7 linked regions of the Solanum lycopersicum genome follow. The main gene of each other region encodes a partner of the protein of the gene in region 4 in a complex. Links are inferred from orthologs where the notes say so. Each region holds a gene or a part of one and is shown on either strand. Other genes may lie near its edges.

Evidence for each region.
Region 1: NAD(P)H-quinone oxidoreductase subunit T, chloroplastic (region 4) and photosynthetic NDH subunit of lumenal location 5, chloroplastic share a complex: the UniProt entries of both Arabidopsis thaliana proteins name them as parts of the chloroplast NDH complex. The link is inferred for Solanum lycopersicum from reciprocal best matches to the Arabidopsis thaliana genes NdhT and Pnsl5.
Region 2: NAD(P)H-quinone oxidoreductase subunit T, chloroplastic (region 4) and photosynthetic NDH subunit of subcomplex B 1, chloroplastic share a complex: the UniProt entries of both Arabidopsis thaliana proteins name them as parts of the chloroplast NDH complex. The link is inferred for Solanum lycopersicum from reciprocal best matches to the Arabidopsis thaliana genes NdhT and PnsB1.
Region 3: NAD(P)H-quinone oxidoreductase subunit T, chloroplastic (region 4) and ORR share a complex: the UniProt entries of both Arabidopsis thaliana proteins name them as parts of the chloroplast NDH complex. The link is inferred for Solanum lycopersicum from reciprocal best matches to the Arabidopsis thaliana genes NdhT and NdhM.
Region 5: NAD(P)H-quinone oxidoreductase subunit T, chloroplastic (region 4) and photosynthetic NDH subunit of subcomplex B 5, chloroplastic share a complex: the UniProt entries of both Arabidopsis thaliana proteins name them as parts of the chloroplast NDH complex. The link is inferred for Solanum lycopersicum from reciprocal best matches to the Arabidopsis thaliana genes NdhT and PnsB5.
Region 6: NAD(P)H-quinone oxidoreductase subunit T, chloroplastic (region 4) and NAD(P)H-quinone oxidoreductase subunit O, chloroplastic share a complex: the UniProt entries of both Arabidopsis thaliana proteins name them as parts of the chloroplast NDH complex. The link is inferred for Solanum lycopersicum from reciprocal best matches to the Arabidopsis thaliana genes NdhT and NdhO.
Region 7: NAD(P)H-quinone oxidoreductase subunit T, chloroplastic (region 4) and photosynthetic NDH subunit of lumenal location 2, chloroplastic share a complex: the UniProt entries of both Arabidopsis thaliana proteins name them as parts of the chloroplast NDH complex. The link is inferred for Solanum lycopersicum from reciprocal best matches to the Arabidopsis thaliana genes NdhT and PnsL2.

Annotation. Positions count from the first base shown.
Region 1 is NC_090800.1:5,016,467-5,020,619, forward strand, and holds the start of photosynthetic NDH subunit of lumenal location 5, chloroplastic, read left to right. Parts: upstream 1-1,353; 5' UTR 1,354-1,628; coding exon 1,629-1,652; intron 1,653-1,803; coding exon 1,804-1,992; intron 1,993-2,672; coding exon 2,673-2,823; intron 2,824-3,028; coding exon 3,029-3,117; intron 3,118-3,871; coding exon 3,872-3,926; intron 3,927-4,057; coding exon 4,058-4,143; intron 4,144-4,153. UniProt on the Arabidopsis thaliana protein: NDH shuttles electrons from NAD(P)H:plastoquinone, via FMN and iron-sulfur (Fe-S) centers, to quinones in the photosynthetic chain and possibly in a chloroplast respiratory chain.
Region 2 is NC_090802.1:62,985,699-62,989,703, forward strand, and holds photosynthetic NDH subunit of subcomplex B 1, chloroplastic, read right to left. Parts: upstream 2,801-4,005; 5' UTR 2,677-2,800; coding exon 2,092-2,676; intron 1,632-2,091; coding exon 1,441-1,631; intron 1,303-1,440; coding exon 1,045-1,302; intron 892-1,044; coding exon 786-891; intron 532-785; coding exon 446-531; intron 350-445; coding exon 184-349; 3' UTR 50-183; downstream 1-49. UniProt on the Arabidopsis thaliana protein: NDH shuttles electrons from NAD(P)H:plastoquinone, via FMN and iron-sulfur (Fe-S) centers, to quinones in the photosynthetic chain and possibly in a chloroplast respiratory chain.
Region 3 is NC_090803.1:56,432,396-56,435,395, forward strand, and holds ORR (NAD(P)H-quinone oxidoreductase subunit M, chloroplastic), read right to left. Parts: upstream 1,518-3,000; 5' UTR 1,408-1,517; coding exon 955-1,407; intron 844-954; coding exon 661-843; 3' UTR 501-660; downstream 1-500. Other genes in the region: uncharacterized protein At1g21580, read right to left, coding at 2,191-2,664. UniProt on the Arabidopsis thaliana protein: NDH shuttles electrons from NAD(P)H:plastoquinone, via FMN and iron-sulfur (Fe-S) centers, to quinones in the photosynthetic chain and possibly in a chloroplast respiratory chain.
Region 4 is NC_090808.1:63,749,593-63,753,063, reverse strand, and holds NAD(P)H-quinone oxidoreductase subunit T, chloroplastic, read right to left. Parts: upstream 2,024-3,471; 5' UTR 1,647-2,023; coding exon 1,255-1,646; intron 1,169-1,254; coding exon 748-1,168; 3' UTR 545-747; downstream 1-544. Other genes in the region: uncharacterized protein, read left to right, coding at 352-544; monothiol glutaredoxin-S2-like, read right to left, coding at 2,671-2,979. UniProt on the Arabidopsis thaliana protein: NDH shuttles electrons from NAD(P)H:plastoquinone, via FMN and iron-sulfur (Fe-S) centers, to quinones in the photosynthetic chain and possibly in a chloroplast respiratory chain.
Region 5 is NC_090808.1:66,330,680-66,334,624, reverse strand, and holds photosynthetic NDH subunit of subcomplex B 5, chloroplastic, read right to left. Parts: upstream 2,706-3,945; 5' UTR 2,613-2,705; coding exon 2,379-2,612; intron 2,041-2,378; coding exon 1,977-2,040; intron 1,697-1,976; coding exon 1,634-1,696; intron 1,138-1,633; coding exon 1,079-1,137; intron 973-1,078; coding exon 742-972; 3' UTR 501-741; downstream 1-500. UniProt on the Arabidopsis thaliana protein: NDH shuttles electrons from NAD(P)H:plastoquinone, via FMN and iron-sulfur (Fe-S) centers, to quinones in the photosynthetic chain and possibly in a chloroplast respiratory chain.
Region 6 is NC_090810.1:1,415,295-1,419,012, reverse strand, and holds NAD(P)H-quinone oxidoreductase subunit O, chloroplastic, read left to right. Parts: upstream 1-1,492; 5' UTR 1,493-1,589; coding exon 1,590-1,818; intron 1,819-1,882; coding exon 1,883-1,959; coding exon of another isoform or gene 1,960-1,991; intron 1,992-2,193; coding exon 2,194-2,259; intron 2,260-2,363; coding exon 2,364-2,405; intron 2,406-2,515; coding exon 2,516-2,575; intron 2,576-2,942; coding exon 2,943-2,972; 3' UTR 2,973-3,218; downstream 3,219-3,718. Other genes in the region: uncharacterized protein, read right to left, coding at 3,659-3,718. UniProt on the Arabidopsis thaliana protein: NDH shuttles electrons from NAD(P)H:plastoquinone, via FMN and iron-sulfur (Fe-S) centers, to quinones in the photosynthetic chain and possibly in a chloroplast respiratory chain.
Region 7 is NC_090804.1:2,507,927-2,511,679, forward strand, and holds photosynthetic NDH subunit of lumenal location 2, chloroplastic, read left to right. Parts: upstream 1-1,248; 5' UTR 1,249-1,289; coding exon 1,290-1,772; intron 1,773-1,862; coding exon 1,863-1,961; 3' UTR 1,962-1,981; exon of another isoform or gene 1,982-2,076; intron 2,077-2,176; exon of another isoform or gene 2,177-2,315; coding exon of another isoform or gene 2,316-2,531; intron 2,532-2,624; coding exon of another isoform or gene 2,625-2,748; intron 2,749-2,839; coding exon of another isoform or gene 2,840-3,057; 3' UTR 3,058-3,253; downstream 3,254-3,753. Other genes in the region: casparian strip membrane protein 2, read right to left, coding at 2,316-2,531, 2,625-2,748, 2,840-3,057. UniProt on the Arabidopsis thaliana protein: NDH shuttles electrons from NAD(P)H:plastoquinone, via FMN and iron-sulfur (Fe-S) centers, to quinones in the photosynthetic chain and possibly in a chloroplast respiratory chain.

The sequences.
Region 1 (4,153 bases), on a different chromosome or scaffold from region 4:
GAACGCCACGTTTCTTGACAAAGTCAACCGGATCAACCCTAGAGCCTGACGATCCTTGAGTTTCCACTTCTCCTCCGTCATGGATTCCGGCTTCACCCCGGTCAACGGTTCGTGAAAATCTTTCTGGTACAGATAATCTTCGATCTGCATCTTCCAGAAACTGAAATCGGATCCATCAAACTTCTTGATTCCAAGCTTCGAACTATCCATCTTCTGTGATCGTGTTGAATCTCCTTAGCTCTGATACCAGTTGTTAGGATCGATTCACGCACACACACTAGATGATTGAAGAACACAAGAACTTTCAAGAGAAAGAGATGAGAAATCTAGAGAGAGAGAGAGAAAACTCAATATTTCGTGGTAAAACCCCGTGAGTAAACTTCTACGACGGTGAGGTATATTTATATTAATAAATCAGAGTATTTTTGGTTACAAAGAATAAATAGGAAAACCTAAAATTAATCAGGCTCCACTACCTAACACTTATTTACATAAGCTTGTACTCTTACCACAATCATAGTCTACTTGATACATTGTACTCTTTATAACATTATATATATATAGAAGGCTTCAACGTGGAGCTCATCATGGGAGAATATTATTATACACAGGTAATAGATGATTTCAAACTAAAATGTTCAATTTTATAAAAAATAAAAAGTAATATTGAAAAACAAAGGTAAAATGTCTTATTTTTGTTCGACTTCAATAACTAAAATATTAATATTATTTTGTCACACTTCAAATACATGTTCATTTTTTGGAGTTTTAGAAACTAAACCTAATGAATCCTTTTTTAGAAAACACGATTTTTGAACAAATAAAACAAAACTCACATCAAAATTGGGAGTACTCAAACATCAACTTCATTGAAAAATATATTGAGAAGACCTAGAATTTCATTCCTTTCTCGTCAGATTAAAAGAGGAGAAAACAAGAGGAGAAAAAGAAAATAAAAAAAATAAGTCAAGTTTAGAGTTTTCGAACTTTTAATGGCAAAGAAAAAACACAAAATTGAAAGTTTTTTTCATTTTATTTGTTTGGAAGATGAAGAGTCACATTCTAGATCTACAAATATAGAGAGAGTATTTGAATGTTTATTTAAAAAGAAGTGGAGTATATTTGATTGAGAGTGAAACGTAAAGTGGTCAATTTATATTTTTATTCATGTAGTACTAATTATTCAAGTATAACTTATTTCATCTCGAACTCGCATAAAATAATTCATGGATTGACTCATAACTTATACATGTATTACTTCAATAGTTTTCTAATTTTCTAATGAAACATAGAATTATGTGTGTTAAAACATTATATCTTGACATAAAAGAGCTATCAAATATAGTATAACTTATGTAACGTAACTCAATCCTTATCCAGTAACCAAACGATCTCGCACTTTAAACCATGGTAAAAATTAGGCTATTTCCTAATATTATACTCTAGTAACAACTTTTTTACCATTTGTAATGGATATGTTTACCTAATCGGTCTATACAAGAGGGTTGAGGCTCGTCATCTCCGTCACACACCATCTTTGTCCCTCATTTTCACCAACCACACACACTCTCTCTCTCTATCTCTATTGCAGTTCAACTCGCCGTACCGGAGAACTGAAATCGGCAACTATGGCAGCTACATTTGCTTCAGTGGTGAGTTTCTTTAACCTCTCAATAATTTGCAGTTGAGCTTTGTTGTTCAGTGTTGCCTTCTAATTTGTAGTAATAACACTAATTTTTGGAAATAGAGCGTTGTTGTTGTTGTTGTTGTTGTTTTAGTTGACTAACGTTTCTCCGTTTACAGTCGAATTTAGGCTCAATTTCAGTTCCACGAGTTGCGAACCCTACATATGCTGCTTATCCGAAGTTGCTGAAATCTTCATTCTCATCGTCAAGCTTATTTGGTGGTTCGTTGCGTCTGGACACTTCTTCAAACCGTTCGGTTCACAAAAAAACCGGCGGTTCATCTGGTTCTATTCAAGCCGCGGTGGAGGTCTGTGCTCGCTCGCTGAGCTAATTTATTAGTGATTGCTCTACTGTTTGTGTGTTTCTTCTTTGATTTCGCCGAAAATTTGATGATTGAGTCAATATGTCTAGCGTTGAGCTAGTAAATATGCGTTCTAGGGTTTCTGTGAGGAATAACTTTTCTGTTTAAGTTCTAGAGCTAAATGTAAGGGATAAGTAGATGAATACATTGGTTGCAGATGGCATGTGTGGCTGAGTGTTACTTCGTTGTCTCATTTTATGTGAGAATATGTTAAATTAGGTTTGTATATAGTATTGGTGATGCTAGAAGAAACTATGAACAACTTTTGGAAAAAAAGTTTATATCGAAGGTTGTGAAAAGAGAAATTTTAGTTCTTCATAATATTTGTGAGTGGAACAAGGACTTTTAATACTTACAACTTGTGAAATTGGTATAAAAATATAGAGATGTCAAATATGACCCAAAATGAGAAGACTGTCATATAATGCAGTGTTTTCTTTTGTTAAGTAGCAAAGTTAATTGTGGAAGCGGATTTTTAAGTCTTGGAGCATTGATTAGAATGGCTGTGGTTCAGTTTTCAGCAAACATGGTGTTATGTTGCCTTTTGTATGGGACTAATGTTCCATAATTTGTTCATTACTTGGTTGAAGTTTTTAATAGATCTGAATGTATTTATTGAAATCCAGGTGGCGGATTTGCAATCCAAAGTGACAAACAAAGTTTATTTTGATATTAGCATTGGGAATCCTGTTGGAAAACTTGCTGGGCGAATTGTAATTGGATTATATGGTGATGATGTGCCACAGACAGCTGAAAATTTCCGTGCACTCTGCACAGGTTCTTTAATAGATTTTATGTTATTAATATTATTGTCGTCGATATTCTTATGACTAGTGCTGCTATCACTACTACCTTTATTGCAGTTTTTGTTCTCATTATCATTATTGCTATAATATTCTGCCTTGTTGCTTGAGCTTCATGCATATAATTCTTTCTATCATTTATGTTTAGCTTATAGTTTGGATTGATTTCTTCCGATCAGGTGAGAAGGGCTTTGGCTTCAAGGATTCTGCATTTCACCGTGTTATTAAAGATTTCATGATTCAAGGGGGTGATTTCGACAAGGGAAATGTAGGTGTCTCAACACCTGGTTTGCTTTCTCTTTCTTTCTTTTTTTTTTCTATTTGTTCCTCTAATTGGCATTCTTCTTGACACACACATCCTTCACCCAGTTCATTGTATTTTCTGTAGTACACTTGGTGTGTTTTGGGTGCTTATCTTTTAGCCTTTTATTTTGCTTGTTTCACCTTGAGCAAGATTTTAAATTAACAGAAATGCAAAATTCTGAATTAGTTCTTTGCCTAGTGTTTTCTTGTTCCTGTTTGGTGGTTTATCCTTCATCTTTTGGATCCTCCATGGCTCCAATTTCTACCATGGAAAACCAGAGAAGAAAAGGTTGTTTTTCAGTTTGTTTCGGTTCTGTGTTTGTGAGACTTCCCTGATGCTTGTAGCAACGTAAGATCTCTGTATTCTAAATTATCAATTTTCATGGTATAAACTTTTTTTCAAAAATAAGTAATGAACTTGCATGATGTAACTTTGCTTGTTCTATGTTTCTGAATGGGATGTCTTCTTTGATTAGTAGTTGAATGTGTGAAAGAGTACATGAGCTAAGATGCTCAGTGGAATATGTACTACTGCCATATTCAATAATTCTGTTTAAGTGGAATGTGTTATTGCACACAACTTGACTGCTCCAATATTTAATATGCATAGATTGATTGAAGAGTGTTCTAGTGTTTGCAGTTCATAATTTGGAAAATTTTCACTTGCCATTCTGGCATATTGTAATCTTCCCCCCATGGATTTAATTTTTTATTCGCAGGGAACCGGTGGTAAAAGCATATATGGTCGTACCTTCAAGGATGAAAACTTCAAGTGTAAGTTGGATTTTCTTCTTAAAAATTGGTTTCAAACTTCTCCTTGTGGTTAAGGCAATGGACCCCTTTGGTTCAGATTGTCAATTGTGTTCAATGTTCTTTTGTGATGAAAAATCCTTGTGTAATTGCAGTGGTTCATACCGGACCTGGGATTGTTAGCATGGCTAATGCAGGGCCTAATACCAACGGAAGCCAATTCTTCATTTGCACTGTAAAGGTATGTGGAA
Region 2 (4,005 bases), on a different chromosome or scaffold from region 4:
CAGAATGTCCTAAAGTGTCACATTGATAAATAACATATCTCCATATTCCTTTTCTGTTGAGAAAAAAGAACGAATATATATATTTCCGCTTCTATTAATTACAATTGAGAAGAAAATGGAACTAGTAACAATTACAGGAATACTTAATTACTATATGTAAGAGAACTGGAGGATGTATAATATTTAGAAGATTGCTAGGGGCATGGTGAAAATTTGAACAGCACTCTTCACAGCTTCAACATCAATATCAACCAATTTTCCAGTATTTGATGAAATAGTTGCACATTTCTTTGCTTCTGCATTGGGAACAAAACTTCTGGCCTTATCCTCAGAGCAGAATAGCCCAATACTGTACAGACAAAACCAAGATATATCAACCTCCCCACAAAGACAGCAGAAGGTGCAAAAAATTTCCGCGTCTACAGCTTGTAGTAGATGACATTACCTTGGTTTTCCACGTGCGTGAGCAAGTTGTATCGCAGCTGTATTTGTAGCTATCACTCCAGCAGAGTCATCAACAAGAGCAGCAAGCTAAGGCAGAGAAATATGCAGGGACTGTTAGTTTTCTAGTGCTCATCCCGCGGTATATAGACTATAGTTAAAGCTGCCACTAAACATGCAACAGAAGCAAACTACTTTCATTTGATTATACCCTCCTTGAATATGACTGTAAATTGTTGCCATTATATCTGTGACTCCAACCAATTTCTTCTTTTATGGTTGTTCAACTAAACACTGGTTGATCATCGGTCATTGATATTGTGAAAGTGGTTGAGAAAACAAACCTGTCCAGGGGTGGTTATGAACACTATACTAGCATCGTAACCAACTGCATCTTCCACATTTTCTCTTTCTTTTTCGTGTGGAATGACAAAAACTGGCTTGACTCCCCTGATCAAATGATAGTTTACAAACCATTAGTATAGCTCACAAATTTTCTTGCATTTGATGAAAAAAGGCTAATCAGCTAATTCGAGAACTAAAAATGACCATGTAGTCGAGTCGGCCCTTTTTCCGACAGAGAATAAAATACTGACATTATACCTTATCTCCTCTGCTATCTCAGCCCAAATCTCAATAGGGAGCAAGCTATCAATATCACCCCTTGACTGCATAGAAGCTTTTGAATCTGATTTAATCCCATGAATCACAATATATTTGCCTTTCTGTGCACCAACATTCTTATATTTTGCCTCTACAACCTCCCTAACCTTTCTTGAGATTGAAACTTTAAGTGGGGGTAAAGGTTGTCGAGGTACTTTACGAGCTGGTCTGCCCAACCAATCAACCATCTGACGGTACCTATTTCAAAAAAGTGTATGTAAACATGTTTATACAAACTTTGACGAAGTACAACTGTTGCACTTTTCAAACTCCCTATTTTGAAATGAATATTCAGTAGTCAAAAAGATCAAGTTATCAGTTGGAACATCTACTTACATATGATATCCGCCCTCGGAGAGGTTCATGCTTTCTGGTGTAAAAGTTTCTGACAGAAACAATCCTGCTCCTGCAGAATTCACATTTGGGTAAATGTAGCTAACTCTGTCACGAGCAGTCGACATAAACAAAAATACTGCATGTCCAATCCCTGCCAGTTTGGTTGACAAGATCATATCATAGTACCTACTCTGCAACAAACCATGCATTAAAGCAAATAACTTAGCCCAAAAAATGACTATAACTCTCTATTCATAATGCAGGAAGCAAATTCTTTTATCTCTATCTGACTAAACAAGACGAACAGCATCTTGAAGCTAATCTAAGCGATTCTTTTTCCAAACGTAGTCTGCTCAACTTTTGAATTATCTGCAAACTCATAAGATAACCATAGTTAAATCTTCGTATTTAACTAAGTTTCCATATAATGTTTGTTACTTTCTCTAATTTTAGGTGCTAATACATCAAGGCACGACAAGAATCATACTTCAAATGAAACAACTTGCTTAAACCTATGTTGCTCGTAGATTAATGTGTGTCGGATACTTCCAAAAGTAATGCACTTTAAAATCAACATTTTTGAAGAGTCCAAGCAACGTAGAATTTAAATAATTATGAATCGATGTTAATGTTAATGGAACGGCATGAAACCTTAAGAATTCCAAGCATATCCGTATACTCAGCTGGTTCAGGAAAATCATCATCCAGATCATAGGCATTAGCCCACCTCACATTTTTATTCATCTCAAATGTCTGTTTTCCCCTGGCTGTTGCAAGTATATCCACTTGAACACCAGGGTACCTATCCTTAATCATCTGAATTACTGGAAAGAACAGCAAATTCTCATAAACCCCACCATCAATAACACAACAACATCTCCGAACATCACCTCTAATTTTCAAACCCAACGAAGCAATCTCAACAGAGTATCCCATTGGGAATTTGAGAAATCCATATGGGTTATCAGGATTATCAGGTGGCCTTGGATCTTCATCTTGTTTCCCTTCAGAAAAAAGTGAACCATATTCCATTTCAGGATCATCACCATAGTCAAAAGGGTCAAGCCATGGATTTTTTTTCTTGGCATTGAGGCAAAAATTCCCTGATTTTCTGGCGGGAAAAGATGGATTGTGGTTCAAGAAAGGTACATTTGTGACATGGGTTACAGGAAAATTAGGTGGATTAGCAAAGAAAGGAGAAATGGAGTTAGATAGTAGAGTAGTAGAGGCAGCCATTTGAGTGTTATCATAAAATTCTGCAACTTTTTTTGGGGATAGCTAAAAACTATAGCAGAAGGTGACGTTGGATTTCAATGTGTGAAGGTAGTGAGATAAGTAGGTCCCCATTGTTGTCACTATGTTCCTGCCTCGTCATTAGCGATTTTTTGTCTCAATTTATGTCTATCATTTGTATTTTATATTAAATTAAATAATATCATATAAATTATGACGAATGAAAAAGTATTTTTTGTTTTTGTTTTCAATCGAGTGTATGGTAGCCATATTGATAATCTAACTAATTTAAATTGCATAAATTTGATTTTAAAGAGAAAATAATTTTTACTAGAATTTCTTTCGTATTCTGAATCAATATTTTAAAAAGTGAGGTGATTTATATCGTATAGGGCGAGGAGTAAATCCCTGAACACGGGGCGTAAGCCCCATGGGTCTACTAGGCTTAGTCTCATGTATATTTAATATTATAATTTTATTACTAATAAAATAAATAAAAATAAATCTTTCAATGATTATAATTCTTATTTGCAATAAATATTAATAATCAATAATGAAGAAAAATATATTATAATTACTATTTGAAAAATATTATTACACCAATAGTAAAAATATAATTTAAAGTAAAAAAAGTTTTAAATAATAAATTAAAACGTCACTATATACGTTTTACGCCCAGAACTTACGTTTTTTATGCTCAAGACTTACACCTTATGAATTTACTTCTTTCATTTACGCCCTGGAGCATTTTCGATATGGCCCTCCCTGAAACTCGCCCCAAAACGTTTTCAAAAACATCGCCCTGAATTAGCTTTTTGAATTGAGTTAGGTTTAATATATATATATATATATATATATATATTACATATTGATATTCCTTAGCTTTTACATAATTTTATTTTTTTAGATTTTGACACCCCTTAGATAAAATTTTAGCTCCATTACTGTCTGAGACGGAGAAATCCTATCTATGTTGTCAGAATCGTGAGTTATACTACTTGTGTTAATTAAAATACAAAGTGCTAGCAAATAACAAATTATGTATATTGTTGTTCCATCATAGGGAGAATCAAGTACAGTTATCCTAAAAACGATTGCTTAATATGCAATCAAGAAGAAAAAAAGATGCATGAAAAAGGAAAGGAACTTCACAAAATTGTGTAACAATTAAGTCAAAAAAGTAAAGATTATAAACAGAGTCAATTAATGAGATCAAAAGGAAAAAACAAAATATTATTATATATAGAAAAAGAGATAATGAGATCATAAAAGAGAAAAAAAAAGTAAATTCTTAGGCTTTGTTTTATTCACTAAACTAGCTTTGATATGTCA
Region 3 (3,000 bases), on a different chromosome or scaffold from region 4:
TATAAATAGAGGGATTTTCTCTCCTTTTAAAAGAACGAAAATTCTGTCTCTCTTCTTCTTCTTTTTCACAATTAAATATTTGTGTACATTGCTCCGGTTAGTGACTCACTGCCACCATTGTTTATGTTACAGATTCTAGTATATATTTTTACAATCATTAATTTATACTTATGTTATTAAGATTAAATTATAAGATGTAATAATTTTCATTTTTTTTTACATTATCAATAGTTGTTCTTACATAATCTTGTATGTAAGATAATATAGTGTGTTAGTTTTAAAGTCTAGTAAGTTTTACATATTATTTTAAAATTTTTGTGGAAAAAAACGAATAATTTTATAATAAAGTAGGTTGAATATAGATGAGGTAAGCTTAAATATATGGAGTGGTGTAGATATAGGAAATCTCAAACAAATTTGAAGCTATTGCAATTTTGATTGGGGGTATTGATACAATGCTTAGATGATTAGGAATATGAAAACCACAGTATAAAATACCCTTTTGCCACCAATGATTAGGTAGATAACATTTGTATTGTGTATAATCCATTTGGGAAAAGTTCTCAAAACAGACAGAGAAGGTGAAAGTTTCTTATACATTGTTACAACTGCATTTTTTGCTACTCATTGTTTCAATATAGTCAACATTGTTACCTGAATTTACTGGTTTACATCTTCCATTTGTCCATTGTAATTGAACCCAACTCTTGGTTTCCCCATACTGAAGTTAAGAACTCTTGCATTCATGTTGTATTGGATTTCTCCATTATAGAGAAGTTTTCTTATGTAGTGCTCTATGTCTGAACCTATCAGGCGAAGCGTGTACTCCGTCAATGGAGCTCCCTGGTCCAGATCATAAAAAGTTATTGGAGTTAGCATTTCTATTTCTAATCCATTTGGTACAAGAGTGATTGCATGATTAAGCTTGTATTGATGAAGAGAAGTTTTCATTACCTCATAATGATCAACAAGTTCTTGGAAGTAAGAATAGACTTTGGTACAAGTATCATCAGTCCACACAAATTCATCAGTAGGGTCAAGAAGGAGTGTGAGTTTATCCATTTGTGTTTGATCGAAAGCAAAGGTTTCGGGATCAATATAAGCTGCATATATTCGAACATGTCTAGTAGCACTACTGAGCCATTGTCCTCCATGTTCTCTGGTCATGTTCTTGCTCTGCACATTTATTTGTGGTTCTACTGGCCTTGGCTTCTTCATTGCCCCCTCTTCTTGTTTTTCTTCTTCTTTCTTTTCTTCCTCTTTTTTTAGTTTTAACTCTTCAACTTCTGCTTGCTGTGCTGAAACTGAGAAGAAGTTTCTCCTTTTGAGTTGTTTATTCTTTCCCTTTGTGCTCCAACTTAACATGCTGAAATGGGTTGAAGCCATGTATGTTGAAGTTGCTGCCATGTTTCCCCCTTTCTCCTAGTGTTTTGTTATGTGTGATTTTTATGGCCTTTTCTTGAATGTTGGTATTGGGATATTAATATATCCTCCTTTTTGTGTGGATAGGAAATGTTTGCTTACATATGGCTTCTTTTTATTATCTTATATTTTTTTTGTTCTGTGGCTGTGCTTAATAAAAGGTTAATTACAAATTACTCACTTTGAGGTACTTAAATTACTTTCGTTTTTATCCCTGTTAAACCAGGTTTAAAGGTTTGGTTAATTAGTGAATCCGAGCCATGAAAGATAAGTATGCAGGGCGTTTCACTTATATAGACAAAACCAAAAAATTTAAGTTCAGAAGTTCGTATGGTGGTGGATCTATTAAAAACAATCTTTTTTATCCGTGTATTCATCACTACAAAAAAAGAATGCTTACCTGTCAAAAGTAAAATAAACATAACACCAGCTGATTGAATCTACAGGTTCATTATCACCTGTGATAAAGACTCAATAAGAGAGTTCAGATTGACTTGAAAATTGTTAAAGAACAAAAGTCAAACAGCTTCCAATAAAGACTTGTACATAGGGGATAAGATTTTCATTTCCTTTAATTCTCTCACTATAACAACAGTTTTCTTGTTCTATCTCACACAACAGATTTTGCGAAACAAAAAATATGCCTAATCCTAAGACCTATACCTAAGTAATTAACTAAAAGCCTAACAATAAAAAGAAAAAAAATTGCTCTGCACTAGCAGAACACTACATAAACCTAATTACACAACCTCATTTACAATGGTGAGGCTACTCTGATACATAGCTTGTGGTCATATCACTTGGGCTATCTATATAGGGAGATGAACCTACAGACCTATTCCTATTTATCAGACGCACGGGCTTAATAAGCTCATCGAGATCATCCAGTTGCATCTCTGCTGGACCACTCTCGCAAAGTGGCTTTTCCTCGCTTCTCTGATCAATAGTCTGTTCCTCTTCGTCACTACCATCTAGGCTAATAAAATCGACAAACTTCCCTTCAAGGAATATGTCATTATTCCCCTTGACAGAAGGCTTCTCTGATCCAGCTGTTATGCACTCAGAAATATGAATGTGCGGAGAGCCAAAGTAACGACCTCGACCATTCTTTAACTCGCTCAAAGCTTTCCTTTTCGCTCCCTTCCTTCTGTTCTTCGGATGGTGAAGCTTGCAGTTTGAACCTTTGGGACAGTTGCCAGTTGCTTCAAAAACGGGGCAGACATAGGTGTGTTTCTTCTGACACTGCATGTTTAGAAATATGACCCATTTCACAAGTTTCAAGATTAGAGTGTTGTGTGTTTGTGATGATCTACATCTATTGTAAAGAACATATTAAAATAATACTGAAATAGTTGCATTCAGAGAAAGAGGTGACATAATAGGTAAAAATACTTGGCAAAATCACCGGTTGAAAATATAGCTATATCAAGGAAGTCATTCCAAAAACAAAAAATGGCAAACAAGAAGAGGTAAGGGTCCCCACTACTTCATTCATGGGGAAGTGTGGAGACTAGCCTCATCAGTTATAACAAGTTTGGGATAGGGACAAGCTTGTCCAGGAACCAGGAATCAACCAAA
Region 4 (3,471 bases):
ATTCATTTGATATTTGAAGAGTAAGTGAAATTTTAGAACTTATCAAACTCTTGAGAATTACGGAGTTGTTATCAAACTCTTGAGAATTACGGAGTTGTGTTATCAAGAAACGAGAAACTCTTGTTTCTATTTAGCAATTAGCATGACCGTTGGTGTTTTCTTGTTCTTTGTTATTATTTATTGATTGAAGAGTAGGTATCTAAATGCAGATTGATAGGAACGTGCGCTTCAAAGCACTCTTCAATTGGATTTTCCTAATATTCTCTTTTAGACCAGAATGAGACACAAAGATCAAATTGTGAATATGAATTTCCATGTCTTTCAGCATTATTTTGGTGTTTGTTTTAACAGGCAACTGGAGCTGGATATGGAAACTGTAGTTAAGGTACTACAACCTGGTCCACTAGGCATTGTGGAACACAAATTTTCTGCTGAGGAAATACAGAAAGCCAGTGACACCGTTAAGCATGCAGTGAGTAATTGGCGTAGGCAGGCTAACATTGAGAAACATAGCCCCATCATGAAAGATTTTATTGATGTATGAGAGAATTGTTTCTTCATTTGCTGTCAATAATCTCATGAAAAGACAATAGTGTAAATTTGTAATCTCAATAGAAATAAACTATAGTTATACTTATGACTAAAGCTCTAGTCGTTCTGTTTCCCAATCCATTGTCATTGCAGTGTATGAACTGCGTATTGACAGTATAGAATATTGTTGTTGTATAATGCACATAGTTGTTCCTGTTAATATTGTTCCTTGAAGACTACTGCATATATAATGCAGCAAAACGAAAAGATGATAATCAAGATATCAAATGTGAGGGCAGTTTTTGCCTGATTACTCAGCTCCATGTTCCTTCCACCAAGTCGATCCACCATGTCTGGAACAGATTCCCAGTTTTCTACTTCCAGCATGCGTGGATCTTGCAGCCTCATTTTCATTTTCTCTGCTTCTCGACTTGCTGTCTCCTGAGCTAGTGTCCAATCATAGAATCGCCGTTGTTCCTCATCACTCAGGACATCATAAATTTCTCTTAGTTTCATAAATTTCTCTGATGCTGCTCTTATAGGAAGATTAGTTGTGTCTGGATGATACTCCTTTGATAGCCTCCTATATGCAGCTTTAATTTCCTCTAGATCAGCTGTTGCAGATACTCCCAAGAACCTGAATTTGAAACATTAGAATTATGAACTGTGAGCCACACATTAAGAGATAAGATGAAGATAGCAAAGTAGATAATGAAGACTAACTGGTAGTGAGAATTAGCTGAACTGTTGAGGAGGTCTGAGAATTTTTCATCAAAGAGATTCTTTTCGTCTGTTTTGATTCGTTCTTGTGTGGACCGTGACTTACTCTCTCCTACCCATCCTTCATCTTCGTTTTCCCAGTGAATTCTTGTGTCAACACCAGGAGGAGCACGTTGTCGCCCAGTAGCCCCTTCTTCTTTTGCATAAACTTGTAAGCCAACACGGCGTCTTCTTTGTTTTGTTGTCAACCATCTGGTATCTGTTCTGTGCTCATTATTGGTTTGGTTCCTTGTAAGAAAGGTGAATGGAGCTGGTGGAGCTGTTGCTGACGCCATGGAATTGGAAATTTGTTTTGTGTCTGATTTGAGTAGTCTTAGAGGGAGGGGCTTTCTCATCACCTTGTCTTTCTGTGTGGTTGAGGAAATAACTAAACATTTTGTTTGCTTTTTTGTCTACATTTGTGAAATATCAATAATTTTGATTTTTGACGTTTGTACTCTTTAACTTCAAGACAATTTATATACATTCTTTAAGGTACTAAAAAAATTATAAAAGTAAGTTGGACAGGTTGAGTTATGATCCACGTTTTAGTCCATTTCAGTCCAAGTAACTTTTGGGCGGATCAATGACCTGTCTATTTATTAACTCAGCTCATTTTTAACCCGAACAAATTCAGTCTTACCCGCTCATTGCCACCTATAAATACAATCATACTCCTTGGGAGTTGGGTGGCAAAAAGAATGAGTTTGTGAGTTAGTGTTCGGAACGCAACACACCCCTTGTCTCTATATTTTCCTTTTTATATAATTATCATGATATTCAAGTTAGCTGACATATATTTAAACTAATTTTATAGGATGAGCTAACTCGTAACTTGTTTTTTGAATTGTTGAAGTGGAGGTCAATGTAATTTATTTTCTTTTTTGTGGCAAATAAAAGAGAGCCAAGTTGTTCTTTTAACCCTTTTTAAATCTATCTTGCTTTCAATTCACAAGGCAGGATCATTATACAAATATCACATATTTTACTTTTTTGAATAGATTCCGAATTTACAAACTTTAAATCCTGGATTCACATCTCGAGGAAACACAACTTCATACTCAAGCATCTAACAAAAATAATTAAAACAGAATGACAAGTCATGTTGAAGTATGGCATTGTATATAATTTATTATTACAATGCTTAAAGATACATTAAAAGACACTTGTTTGAGAAAACAGAGTTTTCATTGAGCATACTAAATAAAAGATGCTCAATTCCACAAACATTAAGAAAAACCAAACTTACAAGGTGTTAATATGCACTTTCTACATGATATATTGTAGTTTTACTAGCGTGAGTCTGAACTAATCATGCCAGTAAATTTCGCATACTAGATATGTAAAGCAAAAAAAAAAGTGTATATATATATATACACACTATAGCCAAAGAGCTTTAGCTTTCATGAGTAGAGGAACAAGATTTCCCTCTAGATGAAGACTCATAATCTCATTGGCACCGCCAATTAATTCTTGTCCAATAAACACTGCTGGCACGCTAGGCCTTCGGCCTAGCATCAGCAGAGCTCGCTCCACTTGTAGCCCATTGGGAAGTTCATCCAATTCATATACAGTTAAATTAGCACCAAAACTTGATATAAGTGTCTTTATAGTGTGACACATACAACACTTGCTTTTGCTAAACATAACCACTGGCTTTTCAGCTACCATTTTTTTCAATGACTCCATTTTTAATTAATGAAAAAAAAAGATTAATGTAATATAAGAGAATTGATAACTTGTTGAATTGATGATGAATTTGAAACTCTTATTGAAGCTATTTATATACTAATAGTGACTTGTGAAGATTCAATATGCTTCCTCTAAACCCCCCCCCCCCCCCCCCCCCCCACCCAAATAAATTAAAGGAAGGAATAATTTTTTAGATAAGGAGTTGATACTGTTAGATAGCATTAGAAGTTCTTGATACTGTCTTAAAAGTGTACCAAAAATATATATATAAAAAAAAAATCCACCATAAAGTATGGAGGCTAGTAAGTGAACTTTGTTACATATCTACATATTTTTTTTCCAATTAAGTTCCAATATAAATTCTTCTTCTAATTAAACACATGGGTTTTACAATCAATAAATTATCTCTTTTTTGGTTAAAAACATGTATATACACTAATTCAAAAATAACTTTTAACGAAAGTAAATAAATATATTAGTAAAGAGTGT
Region 5 (3,945 bases), about 2.6 Mb from region 4:
TGATATTTTTCATTTTTCAGAGTCAAATAGTTTAAGTATGATCGAAAATTTGCACGTACAATCTTTAATATTTTTCAAAATTTAAATTTATATATTTGTAAACTACGTTAAAAGTAATATAAGTCGTAATAATTGACAATTCAAAATAATTAAAAGATATATATAAAAATTTACGATCAAAGATAGACTTGTTTGAATCTCGAAATTCAAAAAGTGTCGCTTAAATTGGAACGGAAGTAGTACATAGAGCTAATTCAGTAGGTATATTTACACATACAACAAGCAATATCAGAACATTCATAAAAAATATTAGAAAAAAAAGCCAAATCATGTTAGTTATCACTCATCATTCAATCAAACTTTTCAACTCTTAAGTTCCTTCTTAATGTAACTTTAAACATCCTATGTACTTTGATTTATACAACTCTCATCGCAGTAGCGCAATCAGAATTTTTATTAAGGAAATTCAAAATATAAAGAATTGATAAAGGGATTTGACATATACTAATAAGAAATATATAACTTTGACCTTATATATACAGTGTAATTCTTCAGCTAGGGAGTTCATTAGAGTTTTTTTTTCATCTCAATGTAGTTAAGAAACATATAGTACAACCATGGAACAACACCAGATCATATGCATCTTCGAGTAATCGATGAAATCCAATGATCATTACGCGATTCATTTAGATACCTTAATGATATATTCAGAACATATGAATTCGTTGTTCTTTTTTATTTCTATCGTTTCATGATATCGTCCTTCTTAACAGTAAAATCCCATAAATCACCATATTTTTCGTTGAATTCCCAAATGTCCATTGTGTTATAATCCGATATTAACTTATCTCGCGCACCTCTCTCCATGTTATATATTTGAGGCTCGAAATTGTGTGCTTCACTTGGTTTGTCCATCTCAATGATACAGAACACAATTGTAAACACAGCTGCTCCAATGTACAAATACTCCCCCTGCATTGTCAAAGAAGTGAAAATACAAGACTTTTAGTTGCTGGAAACGGGTGTTTTCGAGCCTCGAAAAATGTGTAATATAGTAGAGATTTAGTCATTAACTTACAGGAACATTGAAGTACATTCCTGCAACTATTGCTGGAGGAAACAGCCATGAAATGATACCTATTGTCGAACACCAGAAAAATAAGTTATTTTAAGTAAATAACTAAAGAAGCACTCAAGGGTGTGCCCTAGTGGTCAATGAACTGGTTAAGAGTCACGAGGTCTCATCACGTTCAATTCTCAGCGAGAGAAGAAAAATTCTAGGTGATCCTTTCATTTGTCTTATCCACTGTGGATGAATAGAGTTTTTTTTTTCCACCCGATGTCCGGAGCTTACATTGGAATTACGACTAAATTCGAATCGCACATTGCAGGTCCTATATTTGAGGGTGACGCTCCCAACATGATTTTCTCAATAGATCATATCCAATACTCAAACCCGAGACCTGTGGTTAAGAGTGAAACACTCCCACCAGTGAACCACAATCGGTGTTGGTAGATGGATAGAGTTAGCTGATACTTGTTGCTGATGGAAAGTATTTCGTGAAATTAGTCAAAGTGCGAAAAGTAAATGACTAAGTTAATGATCATATTATTATGGTAATTTGTTACATACCTTGAAATCCTGTTGGGGGTGCAATAGCAGCATAATCTTCTGCTATGGATCCCCAAAATGATACTGAAAATGCAAGTGATATAGAATTAAGTATAGTTTAAGTATAAATACATTTACCTATTTTTGTAAAAATAGCTACTCAAATATTGTGTTTTTCGAAGAATTTGAACACGTGGAGTTCACCAATTTCACGTTGGACAAATATGAAACGATTTATTAAACGAAAAGTCGAACGAAGACTAACTTGATCGAATTCATATAATAATACATTGGACAAATTTAGATATTTTTCAATTCAAATTACAAATTAAATCGAAAAAAACACACACATATTGTTATGTACCTTTTTTATCTTCACTTTCAAAGTACGTATGATGATCATCGTATTTTCCAAAAACATAATCTTCCTGCAACAAATTAAAATAAAATAAAATTAGTTAACATGCGTCTGCCTTAAAATAAATCCGTCAAAATTTCAATAAAAAAAAAATTATTACATAAATATATAAATATGCCCTTCAATTTTGTTTCAGTTACATCTATATCCTCTTATTTTCGATGTACACAAATAGAGACTTATATAAAATTGAAAAAATAGATACATTTGTCAGTTAAAAAAAGCCAAGTTAAAAGGACATTTTGTATTATATCAAAATTATTCGATATCTATGTTGATGAAAGATATTAAACTTACTCAAACACTACAATTATTTAAAAACAACGAAGAAAAGAAAAGAAACATTACAATGTCAATGCCATTAGTTCTCCATCGATCAACAGGATCTTCGTTGATATCTGGTTCTATCTCTGTTAGTCCTGCATACAATCTTGTTGATGATCTAAATCCACCACATTTTGTACCAATTTTCGAGGAAATCGAACATGGATTTCCTCGAAAAAGAACACTCCATTTTGTTGAGAATACTGAATTGGGAACTGGAATTGTGGAGAGTAGTGAAAGTGTTAAAGAATTCTCCATTGTTGTTGAGTAGTGTTGCTCTGTTCTTGCTTGTTTACTCTATGTTTTCTAACTTTATTATCCATATATTTTGAATGGTTAAGGCTATACGTGGATAAGGCTATTATATATTATGGTTTTATATTTTTTTTTTAATATCTATTTAGTCTCTTATTGTGTTACCACAATTTCCGACCCCTTTTAACTTGATTTCATCTGACATCTATGTCTTTCAACTTTGATTGTAGATAAATCAACACTTAAATTTATATAACATTGAACAAACATAAACAGACGTACTACGTGATATAATGCACGTAGGACATTATATAGGATGCAAATTGTCACGTACGATGTCACATAGGATGTGTCTACTTGTTTAATTATATACATATTTATATGTCTGCTTGTAATTGTACATATCCAGAATTGGAGAACGTAAATGTCTATTTAAATGAGATTATTCAAAATGCTTTAAACAAAATAAATTAGCCTCTCTTAGCCATAAACCAGATTTTTTTTTTGCTTACCATTATAAAAATTATTTTAAAACTATTTTAAAAAAATATTTTCACCAATATTTCAAAATTTTAAATTTTTTTCCAACTTATGACAAAAATAAGGGAGAAAAAAGGAGGAAAATATCGACGACATTCATACAGAAATAATTATTTCAATAGGAAACTATTTAATTATAAGTAAGTTTAGGTTTAGCAAACATAAAAAATCATATTTGTATACTATAACTATAGTTTGTATAATTGCGGCCCATACCAAATTTTATACTTGCTATGGTACATTAAATCATTGGCAGCCTCTCGTTTGTATAAATCGTTGACAACCTCTAAATTCAATTTTATGTGTTTGTATATCTGCATAAAATTTGAATTTGTATACAATGTATCGAAATAAAACATTTGTATATCAAATCGCTCTCTCTCTCGAGTTATATAACACAAAGTATACATTGTAATTTGTGTTTATATAAAGCGAGAAAGAGAGAATGACAAAAGAGAACTTGTAGAGGAAATCTGTATTTGTATAATTATAAGTGTATATGACGAAATTATATGTATGTGTACATATAATTTTCTCCCGCTTTATACAAATACAAACACAATTTATTCATTTGCCTTTTGTATAAAGTGAGTGAGACGAGGGAGAGTGACGAGCAAGACCTGGGAGAGTGGCAAGCGAAATTCGTCGGGGAGAGAGGTGAATGACAATTGTTTGCTACGAGTTACAATTAAATCAAAGTATGATTATAACATTAATTTGAATTAATAATTTGATATTTTATATAATTTTTCCTTTAATTATTAAGCAACTGTACGTATACTGTATCTTTCTTTTA
Region 6 (3,718 bases), on a different chromosome or scaffold from region 4:
TATGTTCTTCTCGCGAAGAAAAATTGTGAATTTTCAAGTTCAAACGAGCCCCAAAGAAGGCAAAGGCAAATTTTACCAATTTTTATGTGTTATATTTTTCATCAGAAATTTCCAAACAATGGCTGAAATTACTCATGGAAGTCCGTTAAGACCTTAAAATGGAATCAATTTGTCCTGCATGGAAAAATTGTGCATTTTCAAGTTTAAACGAACCCTAAAATAGATAAAGACATATCTTATCGATTTTTGTGTGCATAGCCCATGAATTTTTTTAAATCCAAAAATTTCCAAACAATATGGCCAAAATTTTTCATGGCGTCCGTAAAGAGCTAAGGAATGAAACGAGTTCATCCCGCGGGGAAAAATGATGTATTTTATAATTCAAACGAGCCCCTAAGAAGGCAAAGGTAGTTTTTATCGATTTTAGTGTGTTATAGCCCATAATATTTTTTATCCATAAATCCTAAAACAAAATGACCGCATATTTAATAGACGACCATTAAGACCTTAAAATGGAACCACTTCGTCCTGCGGGGAAAAAAGACACATTTTCAAGTTTAAACAAATTCCAAAGCAGACAAAGACAAATTTTATCAAATTTCTTGCTCTGGGGTTCAGTTGAACTTGAAAATGCACGATTTTTCCCTGCGGGACGAACTGGTTCAATTTATATGGTTTTAACGGATGTCAAAAGAATTTGGCCATTTTTTTATATTCCCGAATCAAAAAGAAAATCATGTGATATAACACATAAAAATTGGTAAAATATGTCTTTGCCTGCTTTGGGCACGTTTGAACTTAAAAATGCATCATTTTTCTCCACGAGACGAGCTAGTTTTATTTCTAAGTTTTTAAAGGACGTCCATGAAAAAATTCGACCATTTTGTTTTGAATTTTTGGGTAAAAATAATTTATGGGTTATGTCATACGAAAATCGATAAAATCTGTTTTTTACCTACTTGTAAACAAAAATTGAAAAAAATGAGGGTTTACCTGCTCTGGATCGTTTGACCTTCAAAATGGGGTGTTTTGATCGTGGTGACTAACTGACTCCATTGATAAGATCTTAACAATCATCCATGTTAATTCAGAAAATATGACGTCAGAGTTCTTATTCACCAAAAATTTCATAGACTATAGCACAGAACACTCGACAAAATTGGGGGTTTACCTACTCTAAACTCGTTTAACCTTGAAAATGGGTCCTTTTTAGCTGTAGTGGCCAATATGCCCCATAGATAAGGTTTTAACTATGTTAATTTTCGGCAAATAACGTTAAAATTCTGGATCACTAAAAAGATGGTTTGACCTTTAAAATGGTCGTTTTGACCGTGACAACCAATTGGCTCCATAGATAAAAGTTCTAACGGACGTCCACAGTAATTTTCAACAAAAATGACATCGAAATTCAGTATTCAAACTCGAAATCCTTAACCGAGAATAGAGTAATCCCATTTATTAGCAGACTAATTTTTGTTATTCAAATCTGGCCGTTGAAGAAGGGGGAAAAAGGGCATGCCCTTATCTACTTATATTGGCCACAACTAAACTAGTTATATCTCCAAAAAAAAAAAAAAAAAACTATAGAGATGGCTTTCTCTGCTGCATTTTCACACACCTCCTTCATATATTCATCATCTTTTTCACAAACAAGAAAAAATAGGATTAATTATAGCCCTTTTGTTATTAAAGCAGAAAATAGTTCATCTGAACCACAAGAAAATAATGAGAAGCCAAAATCTCAAGCAGCAGCAGCAACAACAACTTCTTCTAGTACAACAGCCACCGCAACAAAGCCTAAAAAACCGGTTTATTCTAGTGAGTAGTACTATTTCATGAAAATGTCTCAAATTTCACTAATTTTTTGTTTATAGAAGTTTAGCTTTTTTGTTTTGGTTGGCAGTGAAGAAAGGTCAGATAGTCAGGGTGGAAAAGGAGAAGTATCTGAATAGCATCAATGTGAGTTTTGTTTTTTTTTGCTACTTCACGAGGTAATGATAAGGTTTATGTACACTCTACCTTCTCAGACCTATTTAGTGGGACTTCTTTAATAAAGATATATATACTATAATTTTTTACCAATCAGCATTGTATCCTCTACATGCTTATGAATGATGATAATAATCTGAATTGGAAGTTGTGGACACCCTTGCACTGGAATTTGACTGTATATTTTTGTATAAATTTCTTCAGTATTTGTCTGTTGATCATCCACCTTATTACAAAGGTCTGGACTACATATATGAAGACCGTGGTGAGGTACCATTTTCTTATTTCTCTATAGATCATGTCAAAAGGGATAACAAAATACAATTTGGAACAACATGTTATTTATAAAATAAACTAATCATATATCTGTTTAGGTATTGGATATTCGTATATTCGAGACAGGAGAATATGCACTTGTAAGTATATTTTTTTCGAAATTCAATTTATTATATCAAAACACACCTCGAAACATAAATTTCACTGAATATATAAAGAGATCAAAGTTGAGAGTTTACCTATGCTGCAGATTGGATGGATCGGAATACCAACTGCACCAGCTTGGCTTCCAACAGAGATGCTAATTAAGGTAATTAGCCTTTTGAAATCATTCAAAATACTAAAGCAGCAATTTGCATCATTTCATGAGTACCTTTTATGGTACACTATTAAAAAAACCTCCTTGCACTTCAAATGAGAATCTCTGGTGAAAATTATTTTGGACAAACTCATAGCAATTAACTGCACGGAGGTTTGGGGAATGGACCGGTGGGTTGCTTATATGAACTTAAGCAATCCTCCCAAGTATCCGGAATGGACTGGTGGTTTGCTTATATGAACTTAAGCAATCCTCCCAAGTATCGTATCTTTATTTGATGATACAGTTTCCACCTTGCTAAAAAGCAAGTGGTCTGTTGCGTAATCACACATTCCCTAACCAATAACAAATTTTGCAGTCTGATAAGCTGGATTACGAGAGAATATAGTGGCGAGTCCACAGTTACAGACCAGTACATGCCAGACGAGTAAATCAAAGTGGAGCATCAGATTGACCGCTGCTCATCAGAGATGAAGAGAGATGAGATGGACACACCTCCAGAATTTACTTATTGCTAAATATATTATTATTCCTTAAAGATCACTCAATCAGCTTCTCAGTTGACACTAAATAATCGTTAAATTGATTCTTAAGAAGCTTAATATAACAATCCTGGACTATTCAGTAGGTAAAAGACAGCTTCCAGTAACAATCAAGAGACGTTCTAGATCAACTGAAATATAAATAAACAGCAACATACCCAATGTAATCCCACAAGTGGGGTCTGGGAAGGATAGAACTGAAATATGATATCAGTTAAACACAAAATACCTTCCATATTGAATAGAATGGAGTCGGTTTATAAATGAATATCGAAATGTACGTCTCAATGTACCATTAATTTTTTCATAAAATTATAGTGTACACACAATATACAGTAGGCAGGTAACTGGAAAGTCTCAGTGTACAGCAGCCTGTAAAAAGGGAAGGTGAAGAACAGGTGGTATGGAGTATAAGTTATCTGTATTTTTTTCTGTAAACAATGCTGTACTTGGTATCAATATCTGAAAGCGATGAGGGTGGAGAATGAAATGAAGAAATTAATGAAGAAATGATGCCAGGAAAAATCAGAACTTACAGCCTTCTCCTAGCACGCTTAGTAGCATTCATAAGCTCTGTCAACGAAGCAAGGGG
Region 7 (3,753 bases), on a different chromosome or scaffold from region 4:
TATTTTCAAGATGTATTTTTACGCATGTCATAATTCAACGAGTAGCATTATTACTAATTTATAAGTACTTATTTTTTCGCTTAAAGTTTGATCAAGTATTTTTTGTATTTAAAATATTTAATCAAACAAACTATTAACGACCCTTATACTAATAGGGATTACAAAAGAATTCTAATTATTTCTTTTTTTCAGTTAAGTTATAATTCGTTTATATAATTTTATCATCCCAATCCATTCATTTCTCATCTATTATTTTTTGTAAATTAAAGGTGTTGCTTTAATTTGTAAAGCAATTATTATTAGTCCAACTATGTGGGAGCTAGAGACATTAGATATTTTAGCTGTAAAGCAATTATTCATGCACAATCAATAATGTATTATTTTTGCCTAAATTGCTTTATATCTCTTTATTTATGAAGATAATTTATTGATGATTTGATTTGTTATATCAAAAACTAAATAACATGTATTTCATAATTTTAAAGAAGATATAATTTGTTCACAAAAATACTCTCCAGTCATTATAACAAAAATAATCATTAATTGTCGTTAAATATGTATTTTTAGCGGCAATTGACACTCTTTGTATATGTCCATAAAATATTTAGCAACATTGGTTCTAATGATACTTAACTAATGCCGGTAAAGACTTTCGCACTCTTTATCAATGTCAATATTTAATGCCGCCAAAAATTATTTTTGTTGTAGTGTAGAAAAATAACATCATAGACTTCAAGGGTGTTTCTGTCAGTTTCATTATTTTATTTTGGGATAACTAATCCTGATACCATTACTCTGCTCTATGACGGTGATAACTTATTTCAGGAGTGTATAGTTGAAAAATTCAGCATAATTTAAATGGTTTTTAGTGTCTAATCTCAATGTTGAACTCAAATTTGTTTTGATACGAGAATTGAATGCCTCAAGGGAAAAACATAAGAAATTTGTTCGATTGATAGAAGATTGATCCCAACCCGTCAATGAAATAGGGCTACTAGTGTTCAGTCTTGATTGATTCCGAAAAAATGCGAACCAAGTAAAACTAGTTTCAAATTGAACAAGGCCAACCCTAAGTTAAACAAATTCCAAAATTGGGCCAACTAGAACAAAGCCTCTTACACCATTGACCCAACAACACCAAAATTTATTGGGAAAAAAAGAGGATAAAATATTTGCCAAGTCACCAAAACCTAAGGTCCATTTTGGATTTAGGGAAATCAATTAATATCCATCCAAAACACACACAAAAACCATCAAACACTCCTTAGATTTTTTTTTTCAACACAAAAATGACCACTTTCACAAATCCTACAACTTTGTTCCATCCAAAAACCAAAATAACCAAAACTCATCACACACAATGCAAGACACTACCCAAAATCCAATCTAACTTATCAACTAATGAACAAAACTTCTCATGTAGACGCAAACTCATCGCGACTTTTCTAGTCACTCCATTGACACTAGGCCTACAATTCACCCCTTTAGCATTAGCTGAAAATTGGGGCGTTCGATCATTCTTAAGAGAACATTTCTTTGAGCCTGGATTGTCCCCTGAAGATGCAGTAGCACGAATTCGTCAAACAGCAGATGGACTACATAGTATTAAAGAGATGTTGGAGACTAACTCATGGAGGTATGTATTGTTTTATATACGACTTAAATCAGCTTATCTTAAACAGGACGTGAAGAATGCCTTATCCAGGGTGCCTGAAAGTCGAAAAGAGTCTTATATTAAAACTGTCAATGAGCTTACTGATAACATGGCTGAGGTAACTAACTGTCCTTATTTTCCCTGTTCAGAATTTTTCGAGGTTCTATTCAGTGTTATGGATATTTCTATGTATTTTCTTCGTCTGCAGTTTGATTACTACATTCGAACACCAAAGGTATATGAATCTCGTGTATTCTATGAGAAGACGTTGAAATCAATTGATGAATTGGTGGGATTACTTGCATAATAATATCATCAGGCTCAAAGGTGAGTGAATGTTGTAGCAGAAAAATCGCGTTGGTTTAACAAATAAACTGATCGAAAAACGTTGAAATTATATACAATTTTATGTTCATTTATAAGCTTGGTCTGCGAGTTGATGAAATTGGAATCAAGATTACATACGAGTTTATGAGAGAATAACTATTAGTTGAATAAACGTGATATTTGAAGATGAAAACATTGAAGTAAGGAGGAAATCTTTTCATTATGTGATACAACTGATGAAAATCTTGATACAATGAAATGCAACTGATGAAACTAACATTTACAAACACAATACACACACAAAGGCTAGCAATTGCTAGTGTAGCCAACATCTTCAGCGCCTTGATAAAGCGATAGATGACAAAATTATAAGTATAACCATCAAGGCCATTGCACCAAAAGAACCGATAAGGGATCCAGCAGAACGTTGACAGAAATCTGTATACTGTTGGCATATCGAAAACCAGTTAGTTGAAGTGTTGCCATTGTGTGCCAAATACACAATCGCGGCTGCTGCTGATGCTCCAGATGTGAGGAAAACCAGCATTATCTTCAAAAGTTTTCGCAAAGTATAAAAGATATCAGTACAACATCATAACAAAGTACTAAATATGAAAACTTTAGCAGAAATCTAATGTATTACCGCGTCTAGAACAATGAGCAAAACTCTGCTCTTTCCTGCTCTACTTCTGATAATGTGAAAGATTGAAATAGTGATAGAAAGTGCAAGATATACACAAACTATAGAATTCGAAACCACGAAGAACCTTCAATCAGAATAAGCAAAACAAAAAAATGTGTTAGTTAACCTTTATACTGTTCTATTTCATGTAATAATATGTTTGCAGTTTTGCTTACTTGAACGAGTCGATATCATCATACTGAGCTTCAAAATTTACAATCTGTGTACTGAATGGAAGTGCTTGATCTGCAGTACCCATTGCCACAGCACTTGCTAAGGTTCCAACAAGTGCAACGATACGTAAAACAAGATCAAATACAGAGATTCCTCTGTTCACTCCATGAACTCTTTTGGCCTTTGATCCCTCTCCAGTTTCAATTGATACTGCCTTCATTTTTTCCTTTTAGCTCAAACTTTGAAACTAGAATGAAATTTTGTTGTTATGATTTGTATGTCAAGTGTGATGCGAATTTATACTAACAAGTGAACCAAATCATGTAACAGAGTTACAAATAGTATTAGGTTTTGATGACACATAATTAGTTGTTGCTTTTGCTTATTTAATCAATGAAATGTACAACTTTCTGGTTCATGATATTCCATAAAGTAGTTAAGTCTTGCATTAACTTGCTACACTTTTTACCTGCTCTACTTTCTTCCTAACATGTATTTTGAAAATGTATTTTTTCTCGAGAAAATGTATCATTATATACGAGAAATCGCGATATTAAAACAGCACACGACACGTTGCAATCCATTTGAGAAGGGTAGTATGTATGCATACGTCACTTTTAACTTTATGGAATTGAGAGGTTGTTCCCGATAAAAACTTCAACATTCTTTGTCCTATCTTTTTTTTCTTTTTTAATGTTTTGCAAACACACTTTATGATCATTGATTTATTATATTAGGTCAATTGATAATATACTAATAACAATGGTTATGGTCCTAAATGGTTTTTTGGATTAGGCACAAAGTTCTACTTGAACATAAGAATCAAACATGAGAAATTAGAATACTAGAAAGTAAAATAATGAATAGGTTGACTTTTTGATTAACAATGAGAAATAAAATAAAGAACAAGTTTATG